4 linked regions of the Drosophila melanogaster genome follow. The protein of the gene in region 3 interacts with the protein of the main gene of each other region in a pairwise test. Each region holds a gene or a part of one and is shown on either strand. Other genes may lie near its edges. The genes, in order: row, nmdyn-D7, Cpr73D and CG15617.

The links.
Region 1: the proteins of Cpr73D (region 3) and row interact in a two-hybrid assay, tested with the Drosophila melanogaster proteins (one large-scale study listed by BioGRID).
Region 2: the proteins of Cpr73D (region 3) and nmdyn-D7 interact in a two-hybrid assay, tested with the Drosophila melanogaster proteins (one large-scale study listed by BioGRID).
Region 4: the proteins of Cpr73D (region 3) and CG15617 interact in a two-hybrid assay, tested with the Drosophila melanogaster proteins (one large-scale study listed by BioGRID).

The regions. Positions count from the first base shown.
Region 1 is NT_033778.4:15,207,503-15,216,260, reverse strand, and holds the start of row (relative of woc), read left to right. Parts: upstream 1-2,626; 5' UTR 2,627-2,771; coding exon 2,772-3,654; intron 3,655-3,705; coding exon 3,706-4,535; intron 4,536-4,593; coding exon 4,594-4,684; coding exon of another isoform or gene 4,685-4,689; exon of another isoform or gene 4,690-5,016; intron 5,017-5,192; coding exon 5,193-6,016; intron 6,017-6,081; coding exon 6,082-6,449; intron 6,450-6,474; coding exon of another isoform or gene 6,475-8,268; intron 8,269-8,461; coding exon 8,462-8,758. Other genes in the region: CG8093 (uncharacterized protein), read left to right, coding at 661-753, 826-1,929; Ir51b (ionotropic receptor 51b), read right to left, coding at 6,475-8,268.
Region 2 is NT_033777.3:9,677,854-9,682,209, reverse strand, and holds nmdyn-D7 (nmdyn-D7), read right to left. Parts: upstream 2,272-4,356; 5' UTR 2,130-2,271; coding exon 2,001-2,129; intron 1,937-2,000; coding exon 1,770-1,936; intron 1,712-1,769; coding exon 1,544-1,711; intron 1,494-1,543; coding exon 794-1,493; 3' UTR 708-793; downstream 1-707. Other genes in the region: CG9444 (uncharacterized protein), read left to right, coding at 1-240, 299-688; p23, read right to left, coding at 2,974-3,167, 3,234-3,490, 3,562-3,648, 4,124-4,140.
Region 3 is NT_037436.4:16,938,108-16,944,848, reverse strand, and holds Cpr73D (cuticular protein 73D), read left to right. Parts: upstream 1-1,899; 5' UTR 1,900-2,125; coding exon 2,126-2,253; intron 2,254-3,110; coding exon 3,111-3,248; intron 3,249-4,031; coding exon 4,032-4,213; intron 4,214-4,265; coding exon 4,266-5,611; 3' UTR 5,612-5,749; downstream 5,750-6,741. Other genes in the region: Obp73a (Odorant-binding protein 73a), read right to left, coding at 1-186, 246-426; CG13022 (uncharacterized protein), read left to right, coding at 5,907-6,503.
Region 4 is NT_033778.4:16,744,186-16,748,427, forward strand, and holds CG15617 (uncharacterized protein), read right to left. Parts: upstream 2,395-4,242; 5' UTR 2,299-2,394; coding exon 1,964-2,298; intron 1,905-1,963; coding exon 1,571-1,904; 3' UTR 1,038-1,570; downstream 1-1,037. Other genes in the region: Sfp53D (seminal fluid protein 53D), read right to left, coding at 421-900; Acp53C14a (accessory gland protein 53C14a), read right to left, coding at 3,945-4,242.

The sequences.
Region 1 (8,758 bases), on a different chromosome or scaffold from region 3:
TTTATTTATGTTATATTTCTTGTGTGCCGGACGTCGCTCATTCCCAAAATACAAAATCGCCTGTCAAGAAAACGCAACATTTTTACGAATATTCCAGCTGGCCACACTGATTGTGTCAACATGTTTACCGCCTATCGATTTTTGGACTTATCGACCGATTTTAATTTAAACTAATAGGCGCGAATTTTAATTATAGTAATCACTTTAAAATATTTAACTTAGAACTATGTGTAATATTAAATCAATTAATTCTTTTTAACATATTCATTTAATATACTACATTTATTGAGTTTTGTCCTTACCGGCTTAGCATGTCAGTTTACAGACTGATGTGGGGTCTTTTAATGTCCAGTTTGCCGTACGCCCAAAGCAGGAAATACTAATTGCTGATTAACTCTTAGCAATTATACCTAATCAGCAGTTATCAAGATTATAGGAGACCTTATCGCTGATGACCACTAGCCATTCGTTAAATCAACTGGGATCGAAATTCCCACACGATCTATCAGTCTTGGCGAATCAAACCATTTTGCAGGCAAAAATAAACAGTCATAAATTAGGCAGCCAAATCTAGGAATCCTTATCAAGTTCCTGGGGGGCATATAAAAGGCACGGGCGGCCAAGTCAGCGGTCAAAGCACCTGCACCTGTGGAATACAAAATGTTGGTGGTTCAGCTAATTGCGGTTTTTTTAAGTCTGGGCTTGGCTAATGCCCTGCCTGCGGATACGGGGCGCGCCAGTTCGGTGACAACTGTAAGTTTTAGGATGCCATGTTCTTTGGCACCCAAAAGTCCTTACTAACCACTATATTGCTCTACTTTCCAGGTCACCATTGTTAGGGGACACGGTTACGAAATCGAGGAGCACGAGGTGCAGACCTCGGATGGTTACATCCTCACAATGCACCGCATACCGTACTCGAAGAACACTGGGTACGATGGGCCACGCCCTGTTGTCTTCCTTATGCACGGTCTGTTGTGTTCCTCCTCGGATTGGGTTCTTGCTGGACCTCACAGTGGGCTGGCATACCTGCTGTCCGAAGCGGGCTACGATGTGTGGATGGGTAATGCCAGAGGCAACACCTACTCCAAAAGACACGCCAGCAAGTCGCCGCTGCTGCAGCCCTTCTGGAATTTTGAGTGGCACGATATCGGAATCTATGATCTGCCCGCTATGATGGATTACGTCCTTTACTGGACAAATGTGACTCAACTTACGTATGTGGGTCACTCTCAAGGAACCACATCCTTTTTTGTGCTCAACTCTATGATTCCGCGCTTCAAGAGTCGCATTCGATCTGCTCATTTGCTCGCTCCTGTGGCCTGGATGGAGCATATGGAGAGTCCTTTGGCCACGGTCGGTGGACCACTGCTTGGTCAGCCCAATGCCTTCGTCGAGCTCTTCGGCAGCGCCGAATTTTTGCCAAATACACAGCTAATGAACCTGTTCGGGGCTCTCCTCTGCAGCGATGAGGCCATTTCACAGTTCATGTGCACCAACACCCTATTCCTGCTGGGCGGCTGGAACTCGCCATATATCAACGAGACCCTGCTCCCAGATATTATGGCCACCACTCCGGCGGGATGCTCAGTAAATCAGATCTTCCACTACCTGCAGGAGTACAATTCCGGATACTTCCGGCAATTCGACTACGGATCTACGCGCAACAAGAAGGAGTACAGCAGCAAGACCCCGCCGGAGTACGATGTGGAGGGCATCGATGTGCCCACCTATCTCTATTACTCTGACAACGACTACTTTGCTAGTCTGATTGACGTGGATCGCCTTAGGTATACCATGAACCCGAGCGCCCTGAAAAGCGCATATCGCATGCCGGAAGAAAAGTGGAATCATATCGACTTTCTGTGGGGACTGAATATTAAAGAAATTCTTTATGATCGGGTAATTAACGACATAAATAATGCATAAATGTGCGCTGGAAATAAAAAAAAGCGACATACGTTTTTGTGACATTGTGATAAAAAAAGTTCCATTGGTCACCACTTCAACGGGGGCTTTTGGTAGCTAATGAACCGATAATATACGAGTGGTCATAAATTCAAATTGATTTGGTGACACTTCACGGTGACTGAACAACGCAAAACGAACTAGCCTGCTAACATTTTTTGCCTTATAAGTGCACCTGCTAAATACAATGGATTATATTAAGTGTAATATAATAAAATATAAGCTGTACTAGATATTTTTATTTTATTTGCTGATTGTGTACTGTTGAGAAATATTTTGCACTCTTAGTTTGAATTGCGCGCCAACTTTCAGGGATGAAGCATCTTGTAAAATCATCGATAGACTTTCAGCGTTTTTTGTGGTAGTCGATAGTCCGCAACATACTGATCATAGTAAAAAATATCTGTAATGTATATTTAGGTGGGAAAATATATTCATGGCATTTATTTATACGTTAAATCAATTCTTGTTATGATATTCCTTAATTGTAAAAAAATTTTATTCTTGTTCTTATTAGCAGAATATAAAATTGACCAGTTTACGTTAACACTTTTTTTTAAATACAAAAATTTGATTTATATTTGTTTATATTTTAACGAACCGATGTGTGGTGCACCACTGTGCGTGTGTCACGACAATACCCAAGCCGATATTATCGATGTTTTCATCGATGTTATTTACTCGAGCAGGTACATCCACGCAAGGAAAGCTAATTCGAGCGAAAAAAAATTTACTTAGCTCTTAATATTTTTAAAAACAACGCCCTCGCTGGGCCAGTGGTCGGTTAACTAGTTAGCTGTAAGATGACGCGCGTAACGAGAAGTGAAATCTCCCTGGACATGGAGTTCTGGGTGGAGGAGCTGTCGCCGGCACAATTGGCGTACTACGAGAAGATTACTAACGAGCACAACGCGGTGAAGGGTGCACTAAAGAACGCGGTTAGCGCCAACGAGGGCAAGGAGCTGTTTAACGGCCAGGTGTTCCAGGCCTACTCCTTTAAGGGCAAAGTGCTGCAGGAGCTCAAGGAGGCTACGCTGCCCAAAAAACCACCCAAGCCGACGGACTCTCCCTCAACACCCGCCGCCCAAAGCGGTGGCACAGGGCGGGGTCGTGGCCGCCCACCACGACAACCATCCAACATCGCCTACCTGGAGTCCTCCGATGAGGGAGACGACGATATGCCGCTGGCCAAGCGACTGGCGCTGTCTGCAGGCAAAAAAGCAGTGGCCGTGGCCAATGCATCTTCCTCGTTCACCCCGAAATCCAGTAAGAAGGCTGCATCCGCTGCTAGTGGAGGATCTTCTTCACCGGTACCTAAGAGCAGTGGAAAACTATTTAAGGAATCCAAACCGGACATCGAATCGCCGCCGAAGAACTACCGCCCCGCCGAGGTTAATTCGGTGGGCGGTCTGGTGGTGGGCAGCACCGACGAAAGCAAGGATAGCAAAGACGGCAAGGATGGCAAGGATAACAAGATGCAAGGAAAGACATATCCATCTCTGGTGGTGCTAGCAAAGCCTTTTCTCAAGATCAAAGACATGGCTGCCACCCGCAGCAAGCTGGACTCGAAGGTTAAGCTGGTGCTCATGCTTACGCCCAATAAATTCTGCGAGTGGCTGCTCCAGGAGGGATTGCTACGCGCTCAACAGCATTGCATAAACCATCGCAACAACGAGCTCAAATTGGGTAAGAGATATATGATCAACTGAATTCGTTTATTAATGTATTTATATTTAGGAATTTATTCGGATGTGACCAAGTTTCCCTACACTGGTGGCTATGTGTGGATCAGCGAATGTTGCCCCTACCGCTTCGTCTCCGTGTTCAACAATTCCATTTTCGAAGGAGCTCAGCACCCACCCACATTCCTGTTGAAGTTAATTTACCACTGGGCTTGCCAGACCAGTATTCAAAATGTGGTGCAGTGGGTTAAGGTGGACAGTGTTTATATCAAAGGAATCTACACCTGGCTTAGAGCCATTTGCACTTTGGCAGTGCATCAAAAATGCAAGAAGCTGGGCGGTCCCGGCAAGTTTGTGGAGGTGGGTGTTATTTCCCTAGGAACCACATCCCAAGATGGCTCCCAGCGACAAGTGAAAGTTGAGGTTCTGGGCGTCTATGATTATGCGGAGAAGTCCATCCGACTGCGGGCTGTAGAGCCAATCACCGATGGTGATCGTAACTACAAAAAGCGATTCCAGGCCATTCTTGAGCCACTGTCGCGCTGGGTGCACAAGGACAGCACCATTTGTATAGACTTGACTGTCGACAAGATCACCCTCTTCAGCATGGGATTCAAAAATATTGTCCAAGCAGCTGCCACTGACAACACAGCCAAGCACAACAACTCAGCGGTAATGGAATATTTGCGACGGATTGTGCCGCGCATGTTCCAGAACACCCTATCGTTGCTATCTCGCCAGATGATTCAACAATTCCTCGACGAGTTGGTATGGCGAGAGTCCTTTGGTACATATGCCTTGCAGGCATTCAACAATATCATAATACACATTGCCGAGCAGACAAGAGTAACCACCAATGAGACAATCACTCAGCGTCTGTATCAGGTAAGCAGAATCGAAAAATTTTTATTAGCGATTAGCCTTTAATAGCTCTTTCGTTTAGGTGGCAACCAATCCGTTCAAGGACTGGAGTATTTTGCCGGCCAACTACAAGGAGACACCTGCCAATGCTGCTCCCAAGCGCCTCAAGAAACGTTAGTACTATCGTACTTTTGTAGCAAGTTTTTATTTAGGCCGTGAATAGAATAGTGCGTTATGATAATCTGTTAAGTGCCTGCGTTTCTCACTCCAAACTGAAATGTTTTCGTTTTGTTTGATTAGTTTTGGTTAATCGAACCCAACAGCTGAGCTCAGGTCCACTTATTGTGTTATGTGAATTGTGAATTTATATAATCTATATAGGTGAAATGTATCATTGATATATTCACATATGTACAATTTAAGCATTACTTCCTGACATTTCTCGTGTCTAATTATTTTAAAACAACCCCATTAGAGAAACCATAAATAAACTTGCAAGAAATTTAATAACTGTTTTTATTTGATTTCCTTTTTCATTTGGAGTGATAAAACGCAAGAAAGAATTTACTAATTAAATTGATTGGACCCATTCCACCAGATTCAACAAAAATGGACAAATATGTAATGTTTAAGTTTGTATGTTGAGATTACATCTTTTTAAGTTAACATCTTCAATTGCAGCTATCAACGATGCTGACTACGTTGTTTCTAACAAGATTCCCAAGAAGGAAAAGGATCGTGATATAGCATCATCTGGAGTCAAGCGCGGCCGTCCACCGAATGCATTAGGCACCCCACCACCTCAATTGCCAATTAAAAAGGGTCCAGGTCGGCCGCCGGGCAGTACCAACCAGACAAAAGGAGACAGAGCAACGACCTCGTCATCTAAATCACTGTCTAAATCTCTGATAGCTAAAGGCCTTGGTAAAAAACCGAAAGAAAAAGATGAAAAGATTCCAATGGTCATTAAGAAAGAAGAGGATGATCTAAGGGGCTTGGAGGAGCTGTACTATGGAATAAGTGATGGTACGGACGAGTACCACGAGATCTTTCCATATAGCACACCCCGTACGGTTCACAACGAACTGGCCAAGACCGTGGAGTGTCCAATCTGCCTGAACGGCGACTCCTTCGATTCCAATGAGAAACTCCAAACGCATTTAGTATCGCATATTTCGCCAGAGGGTAAGCAGCACCAGTTCCAGTGCCTTTTTTGCTTGGAGAAGCATCCCACCGAGTCGGTTTTGGCCAAACACAACCAGATCATGCATCCAACTGAGACAAAAACGGAGGGTTCACCCTCGTACTACTGCCTAATATGCCAGCAGCGTCACAATTCCCTGCATCTGTTGACGGCTCATTTGCAGAAGGTCCACAGCACCCTGGAACTACCATATTGGTGTCACTCCTGCGGCTATCGATCATCTTCGCACCGCGATTTGGTCAGGCATTTTTATGACGACCACAAGCATCAAAACTTTTTACAGTGCCCCTATTGCTTGGATGTAAGTAGCTGTCATGGTAAAGTAATCTTGTAAAGTTCTCTCTATTAAAAACTGATTCTTTTTAGATTTTCTACTTCTCAAAGCTTGGCGTCGTTAACCAGCTGCGCATAGAACATTACTTCATGCATTTGGACGAGCACATCAACAAGCGTGATCCCTCGCTGCGCTGCCAGAAATGCTCGCTATCCTTCCTCGAGAAGGGGGATCTAAAGCAGCACGCAGTGCAGCATCATGTGAGCATGACTAAGACCAATAGACCGGTGCGTCTCTTACTCAACAACTCGATGTTGATACCACCGCCAAAGATTCGCACCCATCACCGCGAGCAGCCGCCGTTCTCCACCTACAAGCGGCCAGTATTCTTTGCTTTTCTGGAGGGTAAGACCTGTGCCGAGTGCAACACCGATTTCGCCAGCGAGGAGACACATTACACGTAAGTTCAAAAATATTTTATTTACCTAAGCAATAAATCGCCATGGATAAAGGTGCCAGTATTCACAAGAGAAAACCAGAGCTGACAGTATCCAACCAATTCCCAAGACACACCAGCCCAGTCTCAAAGTATCCACATCGATACTTTGATAGCCCAGGACGTTATCTACAAACCTAACGTATCCAGCACGCATGGCATCGTTAAAGTCGGAAACTACCCAGTGATTCAGCAGTCCAGTATCCTGAATCTTCAATATGAAATGGTTAAGGGATGTCTCCAAGTGGCTGTCAACGCGCATTGGATAGCCAATATGTGGAGATCCCAAGCAAGCAGATGAAAAGCGAAAAATCGGCTTAAAGGCATATTGCTGTTGCATGGCAAAAAACTGCCAACGTTCTTCTGTAAAAGGGTACGCGAAGCTGCGATTAAAACTCAGCAAAGCGGACACCTGTTCACTGGCATTTACAGGCACCAAAAGCCGAGATACTTTTTCCACTAATCGAGGTTCAACATGGCGCAGAAATGTGTTAATTTCATACTCCTTGACGAGCACCCTTTGCTGCTGGTGGACAAGCTGATCCATGCTATTTACTTGCTCGCCCACTACTATGGTTGTGAAGAAGCTGTCCAACTCAATGTTGTACCAACTTGTGGACATGAATCCCAGGACTGAAAGTTGTAGGAAAATAATCAAATGGCGCCATGTTGGTCTGTAAATTGTTATAGGGGGGCTGATAAAAAGTATCTTGCTTATCGCATCTAGAAAATTCAATCCCAAGCGTTGCGGCCAAGAACTTTTATTGAGTTTCGGGCTTATGCAATAGAGAATTCCAGTGATGTAGAAAACTGCGAATAACAGAATATACCAGCTGTACAATTGGAATGGTCGCAATAGGTACATGTGCCTTGGAATCTCATTTCTCATGGGCACAATCAAGCAGTTTGGATATATTAGTAAGGGGTAACTCTTGGTTGCTGTTGGGGGTGTGAAAACGTACGGGTGCAAAGAGATTTCCAATTGACCGTCTATAATCAACTGCACAATGTGGTTCATATTCACACTAGTTGTTGGGTCTAGATTCTCATCTGGATTGGTCAAACGCAGCGAGGCATTATAGTGATCCAAATATTCCACGAATGTGCGATATGCGTATCCCAGCACCTTTCTGCTCTTCGTTAATGGATCGTGCACATGAAACACTCTCGGAATATCATTTTCCGCCGGAGTGGATACTACATATCCATGGAAATTCCTTGCTGCATGTGGAAATAGCGGTTCCGTATGAATATCGAGTTTGAAAAAACGCATCGCCGGATACGGAGTGTAGGAATAAAGCTGATCCCTTTGCAGGACAAGAACGTTGAGGAATTGATATTGCCATAAGGCGTTGAATATTGATTTAATAGCACCTTGCGAGCCACTTCTTTGATTACGCAGAATGATGATCAATCGAATGCGACGGAGTTTTCGTAGATTTCTATCCAGAGTAAGCCACATGATATCATGTTTATCATGACAAAAGAACAAAGCTATGCCATTGTATCTAGTGATTTTAAAATGACCAAGGGGTCTTATATGTTCAGGTTGGAGAAATAAATTCATTGTCAAGCTAGTAACTCCCATTGTTTGATGGAGCCAAATAATCAAGTCGTTGAGGTCGCCTCCTTGCGTATTATGTCCGACGAATATTGGTGTATTTATCCACGGCTCCCGTGTAGAGATGAGACTTAGAACGGATTTCAACAATGTCACATTGTAAGCAGCGTTTGTTAGCGCCAGTAATAAAATAACGACCAATAAGGTTAACACTTTGCACATGGTGGTTGATTCAATTGTGACAAGCCAGAACCGCGGGTTGAGGTTTATAAGTCAGCAGCTAATTGATTTAATAGTGGCTGATTGATCTCTTGGGGAAAACTCATTAGAATGTGTGAGGCAATAATTTGTAATAAAAGGTTTTGGCGCTCTACGCACTCATTTAATCACTTTTTTATATTAAATCTTTTCCCAGTGGTTGGCTACACTGCGTTAAGTGCAATTATCAGACATGTTGCGAGCGAGCGCAATTCCGTCATGGCGTGGAATGTAATGGAAACTTTGTGGACGCCATGGAAGTGAATATGCCACAGGAGATGCACTGCATCTGCGGCTTTGCCACCGGCAACGGCAACAAGATGGCTCAGCACTTGGCAAATTGTGGACTTAGCACCTGCTACCCAAGTTTGGAGGCTGCCAGTGAGAATGCCGTCAAGCGTAATATGCTGGACATGTTGGGCCTGGTTCGACGCGATGGAGAAACCTCTGGTGA
Region 2 (4,356 bases), on a different chromosome or scaffold from region 3:
ACATTCCAGGCCACCCAGATGAATACCACATTAATGGGCGTGACCATCCAGCCGGATCAGGCCAAGGCCGTGGGACCCATCTTTCTGTTCATGCTCATCCCTCTATGGCAGTATATAACAGTGCCCTTGCTGCGCCGCTACTTCAACTGGGAGCTCCAGCCGCTCCATAGTGTGACTGTGGGTGGGATCTTCTCCGCCGGCGCCTTTTTCTGTGCAGGAGCCTTGCAGGAACGAATAAAGGTAAGCAGGAATAATAAGATACCTCACCTGATCGTTTATTAACCCGAAATATTCGAAGAATTCCCCGCCCCAAACAGTGAATATAGCTTGGCAACTGCCCCAGTTCCTGCTGCTCATGATGGGCGAATTACTGCTTTCCATTCCGGGTCTCCAGTTCGCCTTCACCCAAGCACCGACCTCTATGAAGTCGGTGGTCACGGCAGCCTGGTTTCTAAATAATGCTTTCGGCAATCTGATCGTGGTTCTGGTCACCGAGCTGGGTATGCTTAGCTCACAGATGGCCGAGTACTTCTTCTATGCGGTGGTAATGCTAGTTTGCATCATCCTCTATGCCCTTTTGGCCTTCGATTACACTCTGCAGGAGCGCAAGGCCGGAATGTATGTGAGGATGGACAGTGAAGCGGAGGACCGGGATGTGCCCAGCACCAGCCGCAGCGGGAGCATATAGGAGAAGTTTCTACGGTCTAGTATTTTCATTGCACTTGTAATTTATTGATAAACGCACACAGGCAAACATGCATTTAACTGAAAACAAATAAAAACTAAACTAAGATCAGTCGATTATCTTGAACATATACTGCAGCTCCAGGTTGGAGTCATCTGGCAGATCAGTGCAGTGGACGGCGTTCTGCACCTTGGACTTGCCGAACTTGGCGCGCAGCGTGTGAGGCCGCAACAGTTTGGCGATCTCCGGATCCATGGGTCCACAGAAGTTGCGGAACTCGCGATCAGTTTTCTTTTCGGGATCGGCGCAAGCAATCTCCATGCACATGCATACTCCACTGGCCAACTGAGCAACCATGGGTATATACTCGGGCACCACTCCGCGGTAGACTTCGTAGAACTCCTCGCAGTTGATTCGGGCCATTAGAATCATGCGCATGGCTGTCAACCGAAAGCCATTCGACAGGATTTCGGAAATGATGTCTCCCAGGAGACCATCCTTGATGCTGTGCGGCTTAATGATGGCAAGTGTTGTATTCTTGAATACACATTCTTTAATTATGCTGTGCCTCGCCTCAGATATGAACTTTAGGTCCATTTCCACGTCGTTGTCGTTATCAGAGTAGTAAAATCCATAACGAATCTCCTCACTTTCAAACAGCTCTTCCAAACTGGGCGACAGTTTCACACTGGGTGTTTCCGCCTCTGTGCTCTTGTACTGGGCGCAGGCCTTGATGGTCTCCACTACGTTGTCGCCGATTAGCTCCAGACTAATGGCCGGACCAGCCAGCAGCTCGTTCATAAGGACTCTGGAATTTAGAGGATAAGATGTGTTCCTTGGCATGCCATCTTTACTCACGAAGAGGAGACATCCGTCGTGTCCTTGCCGGACAGAAACTGAGTTACCATTTTGGGAGAGAACTGAACCATCATGCCCTGGTTTATGTTAATCTTGTTGTCGATCAGAGTCTTTAGGAACTTGCCCAGGTGCTTCGTCCACATATTGTTCTTGAGCAAAACGAATCCCCTGAAAGAGATGGGAATTACAGATTAGCGAGTGGATAGCTGTCGATGAAGGAACATACTTCTTGCGATATTTGGCTAGGTTTGTCCGCGTAGTGTCGTCAGCATAATCCACAATGTCAAACTGCCGGCCAAAGACATTGATCTTGGAGCCCACAAAGAAGTCGCGCTGGGTCAGCTCCGGGATCTTGGTGCGTCGCAGAAATGTGCGCTTGTTGCGCTGGTCGAACTGAGGGAAAACATGGCCTTGGTTAAATGTGTTTCTTTGAAGAACTTGTGCTACCAATCCTCACCACTTCCACGGCCTTGTCGGATACATAGTAGGTGATCAGAAAGGTGCGTATGATTCCAGCCTCTGCATGGAACCACTCGGCCACGAAGGCCAGACGCCGCTCGCTAGCCGGAATCGCAGCGGGTTTCATGGTATCGTTTTGAGGGGAATCTTATACCTTGCTTTTCCGTTCTATCGCTTGACAGCAAGTCCTTTATTTCGAGTGATAACTGTTTGTTTGCTTTGCATTTCAATTGTGCTTCTTCTTTCCCGCGTTGTCACAGCAACAGTGTTGCCAACATAACAAAATTCATTTAAGTGGGCGCAAAATTTAAAGAAAAAAATACCTATGTTAATTTTAAACCCAAATTCTAGGGGATTACCCATAAACAATTTTTAACCATTACCTATAATTTCTTTTTAAAATCGCTATCTATTCAAAGATAAAGCCTTCTTTGCGACATCTTTAAGAAGCTGGACTGCGCATTCCGAATTTAACAGTTTAGAGATTTCTAGAACATTTATAGAATGTTGTAAACTTATAAAATATTGAAAATAAAAAGCCGAATATAAGTTTTTCATTTTTTTTATTGTTAATTTCCTTTATTTACAGGAAACAAAAATAATAAACTGCAAACTGATTTTTGCAATAAATTGGTTGTAGCTTTCCTCTGGTTGTTAAATTCTAGCGTAAAACTTATGGTTTCCCTTGTCGGCGCCAAATCATCTTGTTCCTTGTGTTGCTTTTTGTTAACATCTCTCCTCTGAATACGCATAATATTCAGGTATATTAAATGTGGTTTTCTTCGATTGGAATAGTGTTTCATGTACGCATGCGTTTGTGGATGTTTTATGAGTGATTGAGTGTTTCTTCTTTTTCTTTTCTGGTGTGTATGTGAGGAGTGAGTGTTGTGATCGTGTGCTGACTTATGGTATAAGAGCCACGCCTAACGCTACGACTACGCCAAATTGCGAGACACCATCTGAGCGACCGTCTAGGCAGCTGGCTTCTTCTCCTTATCACCCTCGCCGCCCTCCTCGTCATCCTCGTCGTTCTGGGACAGACTTGGGATGTTGTCATCCGAGTCCTCCTCCTCGTCATCGACGTTGAAATCGTCGAACTTGTTGTTCCAATCGCCACCAGGGCTGTTAAGGAAATTTCCAAACATGCTGTTGTCTTTTTGGTCACCTGCAAAGTGCGTTTGTATGAGTGGGTTTGCTGGATGAGATCTTGGGGATGAGGATGTCAACTTACCCTCCTCGTCGTCGGACTCATCGCGCCACTTGGCAAAGTTGGCTTTTAGGAAATGCAACTTGGTCTTGTCCGTGGTCAGCGAGGACCAGTAGGGACCGGCCGCCTTCTTGGGTATTGTGAATTCCAGGCAGCGGCCAATGTTCTTGCTGGTCACCTTCTCGGGATCCACCTCGTGGAGGAAGTTCAGTGTGACCTCGTACTTCTTCGACGGATCCAGCACGTTTACGCCCTTGAAGGTGAAGGTTTTTTCCGTAACTCTGTTTTGGGATAAATATATGGAATTAGGATGTGCAAGGAGCATGGACATACTACATATGGGGGCATATACTTGTGTTCGATGTCCTTGCATTCGACATCGATGATGACGTAGATCAAGTCATTGCGCTGGGCCCAGGAAACTGGAGGCGGAATCAAGCTGCAATGGAGGATCAAGTTGGATAAACATAAATAAGAGCTTCATGTCGTTGTGCGAGATCCGTTGCCATGGCAACTCGCGTCGGACTTTCTGGAAGCGGGTGCACGAACTATGTAAATAGCTTCCCAGCTAGCTAGATTTGCATAAACCATAAGCCCAGGCAAAAGTCCATGCCGAAAATGCACGGCATTACCGCCAGCCGAAAACATAACCTCAAACACTGGACCCTCCGATTAGTTCCACAAATATCGCAATGCAGATGCGCACAGGACACGCCCACCGTGGACACAAACGCTTGGCCAGGCGGATGAGCGCGAGAATAAGGGTCATCCGAACGAAAATTATGTGTTTTTCACGGCCGGGAGTTCGAAAATGGACGCCGCCGCAACGACAAAGCACGCGACGCACAAAGAAGCCACAAAAAGATGGTCCGGCTATCGCCGATTGGCACTGAGATGGCCGGTTGTGGACTCACCCTGCTGCTGCCGACATTATGTTGTTGCTGTGAATTGTTGGTTTATGTTTTACGAAGTCGGAACACTTCTGACTGACAGCCTGACTTGGTTACAAAAAAAGGCAGTTTCTGTTGAACAAAATTGTCATGCACAAAATTGACATGAGAAACAGAGTTACCGAGCGCGCTGCGGAGATGTGACTAAATTTGAACGGTGCTCTGGGGTGCGAAACTTCGATAGTTGTACTCAAACC
Region 3 (6,741 bases):
ATCTGGCCACGTGGCGCTGTGGTTCGGGTTCATCGTAGACTATGTACTCGTACTGGCTGATGTTGGGGGAATGATCAAGGGAAGGTGCCTCGGGCACAGAAGGCCAAATGAAGTCGATGGAGTCATCGTTCGGATCGATGGGTGGCTGATTTTGTGACACCTGCTCCTTGAGTATCTCATAGGCCTCTAAATGGGGACCAAAACCGTATAGTATTTAATATGGCTTAACTAATTTGAAGGCCCACCATTAACCAACTTGTTGCGGACCTCATCCTGGCACTCCCTTATGACCGACTCGACTTTCCTGGCCGTTCTGGGTGGATTCAAGCACTTGGCCTTTTTCGTCTCGAAGCGAATTAGATATTCCACAGCGTCGATCGATGTGATAACCATGCACGAGATGCATAAAAGTTGTGTAATCCTCATGGTTGCGATTAATTGGAGTCTCCACGCCGATCCGAACGCCTGGGCCGCTGTCAAATGAATGTCCCCCGAAGAAATGGACGCGATGAAATCGAAAGCATTTTCACTTTTCCAAGCCAACTTGGCAGGATGGCCCACACAGGCCACTTATGAATTTCCAGTTTAGCTATACTTTTTTTTTCTCATTTTAGTTTTGCTCTTTGGGTATGTGGTTCAATGGCAAACAGCAATACTCCAAGTGCAACTGCGACTGCCACAACTGGTTGCACATTTCCCATGCGTGCAGTCCGTTAGAAACTTGTCCTTAAAGCTCGACCACATGCCTATGAACATGGTCATTGGCAGCGGCCATATATCATTGCTATACCATATCTCCATGGCTCTCCGATCGCGATCGCATTGGGTTTCGTTCCATTGTCTCTGCGGTTGTGCGATTACAAAGCGCTTATGCTCGGAAAGCACTCGCTCCGATTGAGCGCACAATTAACCAATTGGTGAACTCTTCCGCCTTCTGACCAATTTGCATATGGCCAAAAAACAACGGCTATAAAGATTATCAAAGGCGGTAGTCTATGTGGATGTAAATATGGGCTAGCCAGAACTATAAACTATAACCAGAATCAAAGGCAACCAAGCGGGGCGGTCTAATCAGAGGGCCTGACATATCCCCAGCACATCCCCATCTAGAACCCAGAACAATGGCCAATAACTGTACTTGGAAGTGGCCAGTAGCGTCGCCACGCTAATTATGGCTCATTATAATGGCCAAGATTCAAGAGCCAAGATCCTAGGCGGAAATTGTCATAAAGTTCTGTGGTCTCCTCCAGCCGACGGGTAATTGCCTTTAATTGCATACCTGGCCAAAAATTGCTGCTAAGACACTGACCTAGACTCGCTCTGGATCGAACTTGTAATAAGCTCCGGCTAACGGAAAACTCAAAATGGAAAATTGATTCCCCAGCGATGAAGTTCAATGTTCAGAGTTTTGCGATTTGTAAGCTAAAGAGAGCGGGGCGGGGGGATGGTGCATTGTCAACAGGAAGAGAGCTCCAGGTTGCAACTTCGGGGAACAAGAACAACGTGAGCTAATTGACAGACAGCTACACAGGCACGATTTTCCATTTTCCGCTGGCCATTTCCCGCGGGTTTTAAGCCCCTTCCCCCACCCTCCTAAAGTGGCGAACAAGGAGCCATAAAATAGGAGAAACACAGCAGCAGCTGCAACAACACTTGCGTGTCCATCATTAGAACGAATTCTCTCACCTGAGCCCCGCGCCCACTTTCCGCCTTTTCTTGTAACGCAATTTGCACACAAATGCTGCTGTTTCATCTTCGTGGCTTTGGCTCTTTTTGGTGGGTGGTCAGGTGAGACAAGCAGCACCACTAGCTCCACTAGCACCACCATATGACGCCGCACGAACCGCTCGCTGAGCCGCCTGAGAATCGTATTTAAATACGAAGGTCTAACGCTGGATCGCATCAGTCGTCGCCGTCGCGTTGTTCTAGCCGCTAGCTCCTCTCGAAGATCGCAAACCAAGTCGGAGTTTAAGACGGGTTCCAAGATCGGATTGGCAGACGATCGAATCGAATCGGATTTGTTGGGGGAATATAAGTTTATGTGGTGACTGTGCACCTGGAACAGGATGCCCGTTTGATACTTGTTTCATCTCTCGATTGGATTAAAACGAATGCGATTTGAATGATGTGGCATCTGCATCGGCACGCGAATTCCCTTTTGCTTCTCTGCGCAGTTTTAGGATACTTTTCGGATCCTGCGAGAGCCGAAATCGAGTACAATACCATCAGCGAGGATGGATCTTTTCAGTTTCGGTACATAGATGTGTGACAAACTATAGTGAACATTTTTAAAGGATATTAAGCACTGAAAAAAAAATTGGCATTATGGATTAAATGGATATGCATTTAATTGCAAATGCAACACCCTGTGACTCAAGAAATTTGATGAATAGTTTTTGTTACAATTGCAAAATTTTGAATTTAGTAAAATTTTCAATTTACCTAAAAATGCTTTAAAAGGCAGGATATTTTGACAGAAATTAGTAATTTCCTTCGTAATACGATTATCATAATACCTACATCGACTAAGATTTTTAATAGGATTTTAAAACTTCACAATAAAATTAATTCAGATAACATTGAAATTAATATTTTTCAATTTTCAACTCATTGCATTAGTCATCACAATAAAAAAACTTAACCAAATAACATAATTTACATTAAATAGAATAGAACTTTCATTGTCGTCCAATTTCCTTTTAAAAAAAGGATTAAAAGTAGTTAGTCGCTGAAAATAAGAAATAACCTTCCCCAATTGCGTACAAACTTAGCTGTTTGGTAGAATAATAAACCTTTTGAAAAGAGAACAACTCAATTACAGTTTTTTAGCAGCCATGGGTCATAAATCTAACAAATCATCTAATCGGTCAATGATGTCTGCTACCTTACCATCACCATTACACCCGAGAAAATTTGAGATTTTTAGCACCTCTTTAACGCCTCAACGTTTTGCAACCACAACAATAACACGCTTCCGACCATCTTTCCCTCTCCATTTCGCACGCATGGGGCAACGCAATTACTTCTGTTTCGATGGATCCCACCTGGCATGGATAATGGATATGCTGCTGCTGGTACTGCTACTGCTACTGCTTCCAATCGGCCAAAAGACATGCAAATGATGACATTGGCGGCTACTATCACAGCGCCTCGGGCACTCCGGACAACACGGTGCGAGGTCGCTACGGTTCGCGGAGTCCGGCGAGCGGGCAGATCGAGGAGACGGTCTACACAGCCGGACCACGTGGGTGAGTAATCGAAGACGGTAGCCAAGACTAGTGGGTAAAGTGCGCTGGTGCACTGCAAGAAAATAGTATCATTTTAGAGTGCATATGTGTGGAGAAAAATGCATTTAAAATTGATGATGTCAAAATATGCGTAAAAGAAAAACATAATTTTTAAAATATATGTATTTCAAATGTTTTTAAAAATAATTAGGCAACGATAAGTTCTGTGGGTATACATGACTCGAAGGTAACTTCCTTGAGGAAGGTCGGCGGTTTTTTCCTGAGTGTATTGGCCGCTGAGGAAGTGGCAGCACAAAGTGAGTTATCTCCCCTCGATGTCAGAGTTGAGCTCATATATCAGCGGTTGGCGGCAGGCGGCGGCCACTGAAGCGAAACCCAAACAAACGGAGGGGGATCCATGGAGTTGGAGCCGTTCTAACACATTGGACTGCTTTTTCTGGCGTTGCCTAAACGTTTTTCCATTACCGCTTCGGCGCTACTGTTGTTTTTTGCAATCTCCGGTAAATCGGGGGAAACAAAAAGCTGTTAACAAATTGACTGGCCTGAGAGATTCGAGCCAAAAAAAAAAGAGGAATGGATTGTAGATGGCAGATGCTCAACGATAGCGATGATTCTGAATGGGATCGTTCCCCGAGATGTGTAGTAATCGAAGTAATGGCGTGCCGGGCTAAGATCGAATCTATATTCAAAATTGCAGTGCAAGTCCGCTTCCGCTGAAAGGGTTTACCCAATCCCCACTCATTGTGTCGGTAGCTAATTAATCTCCCTCTATTTCCCACATAGATTTCGCGTGAACGGACCGAAAATCCATCGGAAAATGGACCTGGCTCAGTATCCGGTACTGCCGCGGGGAAGTCCGGACGATCCGCTGGCCGATCCCTTCGACGATCCATCCTACAGCTTTAGTTTTCGCACTCCGGATCAGTCGCGCAGCGAGGAGAATGATTCCGGGAATAGGATAAGAGGCGAGTTTAGCGAGTATGGTACTTAAGAGTATATTAACTGATTCTATCCCAGGTCTGTACTCCTATTTGGACGACGTGGGCGAGCGGCACAGTGTTCGTTATGCAGCTGGAGCCGGAACCGGATTCGAGATCTCCAACGCTGTGCCGGACAGCCCATCTGTTGTGGCGTACTCCAGTCCTCTGTACACGTCCCATCCCAAAGCACGCGGCAAGATGTCTGTGCAAAGGGGGCCGGCTGGAAGCTATAAGCTGATCGCCTCAGGTTCGGATCACCGACGGGCAGAAAGTCGAGCACCCGATGGCCTGGTGCGAGGAACCTACTCCTTCCTGGACGACAAGGGCGTGCAGCGGACAGTGGAGTATATAGCTGGAGCAGGAATTGGCTACCGGGTGGTGCAAAATCGGATTGGTCCTGGAACCCATAACAATCCCTCTGTGGCTGATTTTCGTTTGACAGATCCAGATTTCCGACTGGCTAATGATTTTGGCAGGGGTGCTGGTGGTGGCTTAGGTCCGAAGGGAGGTGGTGGTGGATCAGGTGGGGGAAGTGTTTCGGTAGGAGCTTCGGGGCCAAGTGGTGGTGCAGGTGGAGCGGGAAGGGGCCGTACTCCAAGCAGACCCGGAGGCAAAGATTACCTAAAGCCGGCTGATGGAGCAAGAGATAGGAATCGTGGAGATGGTGATGCTGGGGCAGCTGATGAAAATCTGGGACACCATGCTGATGACCAAGGGGATGACATTGGGCTTGGCAGCAGCTCCTCTGGTTCCACCAACTTTAATGGCAAAGAAGACAGAAGAGGGTTCCCTGCGGGTAGTCCGCAACGGGGCAGTACTAGATACGATGCCGGAGGTGACAGCTCTCAGAGAGGTGGTTCAGGTAGCTCCACGAGAAACAATGTTAGTGGGTCCCGAAACAGAAACCGATTCGGCGGCGTTGGTGGAGTAAGTGTCTCCTCTGAGCGGGGAGCAGGAAGGGGAGGTGCTGCCGGTGGTGGAAGCAGTCGTCGAGGAGGTGGAGCTGGAGCCTCCAGGGAAGGCGACTCCGGCCTGGGCTACCTGCCGCCCACAGGTGGATCGGGCACCAGTGCCATGAGCGGACCCGGGGACAATTACCACCTCAACGATGACGATGTGGGCAGTTCACTGCCTCCTCTGGTCACCGCCAACCACCGAATTCTAGAGATCGACAGGGATCGGGAGTGGGTGCAGCGACACCGCGACTCCACCGTCATCAAGAACGTGGGTAAATGGTACGTGGGCCTGCCGCCTGGTCAAAGTGTGCGTGCCCATGTCCAGAACATCGACATAATACCCTTGGGCGGAAGGATCGGACTTTCGCCGTCGGAGGCACTGCGTCAGGATGAGATCGCCGAGCTGAATGCCTCAAGGGAGCACTAAGCACCCATTGGATCTGTAGATCTGTAGTTTGTAGTGCGTAGCTCTAAGTGATCAGTGTTGAGTAACCGAAACTGGGTTGACTCCACATGGAAACTAAAACAGTATTTAAAGCGGAATACATTTTTTGCCTGTATCTGTATCTCAAACTGTATCTGTATCTCTAGCGAATAGTTATTTGATATCCGTGGATCCGGGTATAAGCAGGTTAATCTGCACATTGCGGTTTCCTTGAATCCACATATAACCCCATGACTTAGCATGCTCGGAGTTTAGTTGTTTCTGAGACTTGAACATGATGTTGGTGCTTTTCATTGCTTCGCTGATAGTTTCCTGTGCTCAAGGAGCGCAAGTGTATATGCAGTTCAATGGACAAGGATACTCCTACAACACGGATGGCGATAGATTGGATAGGAGTGTCGTTAAGCCTAGTTTTGGGGCATCTTCTCTGGATTCCTTTGGTCCGCTGAACTTTGTGCATCAATCTCTGAGGACAAGACAGAATCCACTTTCCCGGATTTCCTACAATACACAGGATAACCTAGCAGTGGCAACATCTTCGCTGAGTGCGGGCTACCAATTAGCATCGACCAACCACCTGAAGCACCGGCAAAGCCAGCAAAACTTTGATTTCAGCACCGACCAGATGTCGCATGCCCAGCACACCGATGAGGCGGGAAATGTTTTGGGCAAGTACTCCTACTACGATGAGGCTGGCTACCATGAGCTGAGCTACAAGGCGGGCGCCGGCATCGGATTCGTGGTCATGGGTGGCAATTTGGCCAAGGCCACCACCGCCGCTGAACCGCACTCGGAAATCGAAATCGGAAACGGAATCCAAACAAATGCCTTGACTAGCCTGCAAGAGTTGCATAAATATCGTGGCTACACGTAAATAAAATATATTAGCCAAAACTATTGCTCGTTCTACTTGGGTGTTTTGCGTTATTTACTGGAAGTCTTTGGAGATCTGACAGTGTCACCTGTCGTGTTTGAGACCTACGTGATCGGGGATCTGAACTGTAAACATATGTCAAAGAATGAATGACTTGTAAAACAGAGTTCATTCAAAGAAAAGAGTGCAGCTTTGCTTGGTTATAGAATGCAAGCAATAGTCAAATATTATCGAGAGC
Region 4 (4,242 bases), on a different chromosome or scaffold from region 3:
CATTAAAGGTTGTTGCAGATTTGACTTTTCTTTAAGTTTTTATTGTGGTTTGATCTGAGCTTACCATATTGCCATTAAAGTCAGTAAAACAAATATGAAGGCAATTGAAATTTACCCATAAGCAATATTTATTAGAATGGGAAGCTATTAGTTTAAGTAATGGAAAAGCCTGCGGTGGCTCAATTAGAGTAAGTCGCTTTTCTTAATTACAATTGAATAAGTTCAATTTACTTTCATTAATTGCTGTATCCACAAACTTGTTTATTTTTGATTAATAAAAATAATTCGTATATACATTTAAGATACTGTTACACAAAAAAAAATTCATTTTCGTTTATTATTGTTCTTATTTCAAGTTAAAAAAAGGAAGGAAGTTACAATCTTAAAGCAGAGTAGAAACTGTATTTGGATTTACACACTTTACACTGCATCTACTGGTGGCTTGGGATCATTGGGAGCATCCTCCGAAGGACTCTCCGGCGGCACTTCATTCGGCTGTTCCATGCTTTTTATCTCACCCGATTTGTTTTCATCCAAACCATCTAACGTTTGGGCTTGATTTTCATTTTCATTACTATTTACCGGGTCCTCCCAATAAGATGTTACGTATTTTTCAGCCAACTCGTTATTTTCAACGGATAGGGAATCATCATCCTTGTCGCAAATCTTTATTCTTCGGCATCCTCCATTGTTTCTCACTATTGAGCCTTCGATGCATCCACATCCTTTCTCGCAGTAATGAATGCAGTCGACTGGGTTATCCTTGCATCCTTTGTTACAATATGAATAACAATCTGGGAAAGTGTTCTCGCCACATTTCCTGTGAGCGATTTTATGCTCATAGGCAACAATTTCCAGGATAATCTGGCTGAAGAGAGCCAGCAAAATAATAACTTTCATTTCAAGATTCAAAACGGAACATAAATGATAAAATCTGGGTGATACGAATTACTTAATCGAATAATAAGTGGAACTAACTGATTACAAGCCCATTTACTTAACAATATGCCTCAATTTGAGTACTTTAAATATCATATATCAGAAAATATTTTTTATTCGTATTTTTTTGTAACTATACATAGTGTTTGAAAATTTAAGTGATTTGATAAAAAGTTATTTACAAAAATAATTAAGCTAAATTTAGCTTTTTGGAATTTTAGATTGATTTTATATTTTTTTCTATAACACAGAGGAGGTAGTATATATCCTTTAAGGATAATAATCGAGTTCGTATCACCATATTTATGATTAGCATTTTGAGAACTCTTTTCAAAATTTCTAACCCAAAGCACTGCAACTGTTTTCCACAGATGCCTGCCAGCTATGGTTTTAACTTATCCATCAATAAAGTTATCCGCTTATTTCTGGGCAGGATTAAGACACGGTTCTCAGGAGAACCCTTTTCGAAATAGTTTCCCAGCATTTGTGTGGCACTTCAACTGTATATTCAGCTGTCTGCCTTCTTTTGAGTGTATAGTCCTTGAAGGTCCTGATGCACTGCAGCGGATTCAGCGCTGCCTGCAACTTCTTGTGACTTGGTCAGCATCATCTTTCCAATTAGATTGGTCTCCTAATCCCTTGGCGGTGGTCCACGTGGCCTGAGCACGGTCTCGAGAAGATTCGGACCTGGTTGATTCTTTGGCCTGGGAGTGGGCGTCAAGGAGCGAGTGTGTGGAGCCAGCTCATCCTTTTTGTGAACAGCTGAGGTGGCAGCACGTCTCGCCCGAATCTTCTCCTCCATTTTGCTGGGCACCATGAAGCAATTGGACTCCTTGTAGACAGGCTTGCGGCGATCGTTCCAGGGGAATGTCCATTGAATGGGCGTGAAGTCACGACGCCAGGGTTTCCTGGGCTTAAACCAGCAATCGCAGGTCCAATCCTCCTCACCGGGAGCATCGTCATCACTAAAGAACCAGATGAGTTAAGAAATCATGATGCTAAGAATGTTTAAGGTTAAACTCACCCCCTAACGTAGACACGAACGTATCGCGAATTCTTTCGGAACATTTGCAGGGCCTCATTGAAGGTCATCTCCAGGGCCGGCACATCATTGATCTGGGTGATCTCGTCGCCCACTCGCATGCCTCCTCTCTTCGCCAGGCCAGTGGGTGACACATTCACAATGGTCAGCGGCTCGAACTGGTCAATGCCGCCAGTCACCTCCATGCCCCACATCGCGTCGTAAAAGCTCATTATCCTACAATCCGTCTCCAGGGTGTACGTCATCTGCAGCTCGTACGCGACATTGTCGAACGCATCCGAGTCGTACTTGGGCACCCTAATCTTTGAGTCGAACATTGTGGCGAACTCAACAGTAAGTGTGGCCCCCTAGAAACTGGTAAGATGAAACTGAATCCAAGCCGTTTGAAACGGACAGAAGGTACTTTATCGTCTGGCGCTGCTCGAGTTGATCACTTGCTTTTATAGCCGATAATTTGGCAAGTAAAGCGGATACGGATACAGGGACAATGTCAAGGGGTTTACCAAATGAATGTGCCAAGTACAGGGAAAAGTGCCTAAAAAATAAACAAAGAAAAAATATAAATATTTAAGTAATAAGATCGTTGTTATCATTTTGTAAATTATGTTTATAATTTATAATATAAGAGAACATCACATTCTGACCAAATATATCAAGTTGAAATTGTTATTTGTTTTGTAGTAAAGAATCTCTGTTGCTCGCAAGTATTACCTACTGTGTATTACGGGAAAATCAATTCAATTGATTTGCATTTAATTGTTGTCTATTTTTAGTGGCAGTGATTTTGGCTGACGGAAACCAAAGCGACCGGCCAAACGACAAGGAAGATCCCATGGCCGCTTTTGGCCACTGAAAGTGCAGCCGACGCGAGAGCCCAGGGAGCAGCCAAGCAGCTCCAAGTCCAGTTCCTCCACACACCGCTGGGCAAGTGCTAAGCACTTGGTCGGAACTATTTGATTTCACTGACCTCAATTATGGCTGCAACCGAGTTGGTCCGAGGTTGGCAAGTAGGGAGAACCGCGAACCAGAGGCTTCTACCGGACTATTGAATTATTCATTTTGAAAATGGTAGAAAATGTTGTTGGAAGAGAAACCCGCCAACAAAAGCCCATAAAATGCTATTGCCGGGGGAGCAGCGGCCAAATGGCAAAAGGCAAACAGTAGCGACAACTTGCCTAATTACAGCAGATATTCTGGTATGGATGTGCGTCCTTCAAAAGTTAGTATACTCCATATTCTCCTCATCCTCTTACTCCGAAAGCACTTAGCAGCTTGTCGGAGCTTATGCACTACTGGCATACTGCGTGGGATTTGCATCACTGAGCTTGGCCAGCTTTGGTTGTCATGGAATTTCATAGCCACAATGAAAAGGATTTCGACCATGGAATTGAGGTAATTACTTAGCAGGTGCTGCTGGCAAGTGGAGGATTACCTGGCCAAGTGGAGCTCTTGTTTTCGTAGCTATCTTGAACCTAGTCACGTTGCCAGTGCAACATTTCAGACATATAATTGTTTCTGGTCTTTATCTAAAAATGAAGCAGTCACGATTCCATGTCGACTGTGCTATATAAATCGGCTAACTGAAATGCACCTTTAACTCAATAGCAATGAAGCTTTTTCTCCGTCTGCGTAAGTACTAGACATTTAAACAATTATACATTTTTTTTGTTCTACATAATTTATATTTTAGTTATTTTTACGCTAATACTGATCCTGGCCGACGACCAGAAGATAAATCGAATTTTGTATATAAAAAAACGTGTAACCACCAGTTGATATGTAGAGTTAATAAACATTACTTTTAAATAACAATGGTTGTAATTTCAAATGGAAGTTCTGTGATATGTTGAATTTGAATTTTAAAAGAATGAGAATAAAACAATTAAGATGGTTCTGATCCGTTTGCTTGGCCAGGCAAACTTTCGGTATATTCTGAATATTTATTCAAACTAGGTAGGTTGTCTTACTCATCAAAGCACCTCAAGCTATCAAACTTGGCTATAATCGGTCTAATCAGTCCGACTCCGGTGGTAAAGGTTTGTACGAGACATTCCGGTCGATCGTATATCGCCTTCTTGCCAAACTGATGGGCCACCCTAATAAATCTGAGAATGCTACCAGTTAGTTTGATTTTCGGCTGAAAATCAACGCAATCGGATAGGAGGCTTATGGCCGTTATAGAGTTCTCGATCATTAGGGCACCGGCATCAGTCACCACTTCCAAACATCGCAGATAGTGATCGAGTTCCGAACTTATGGCG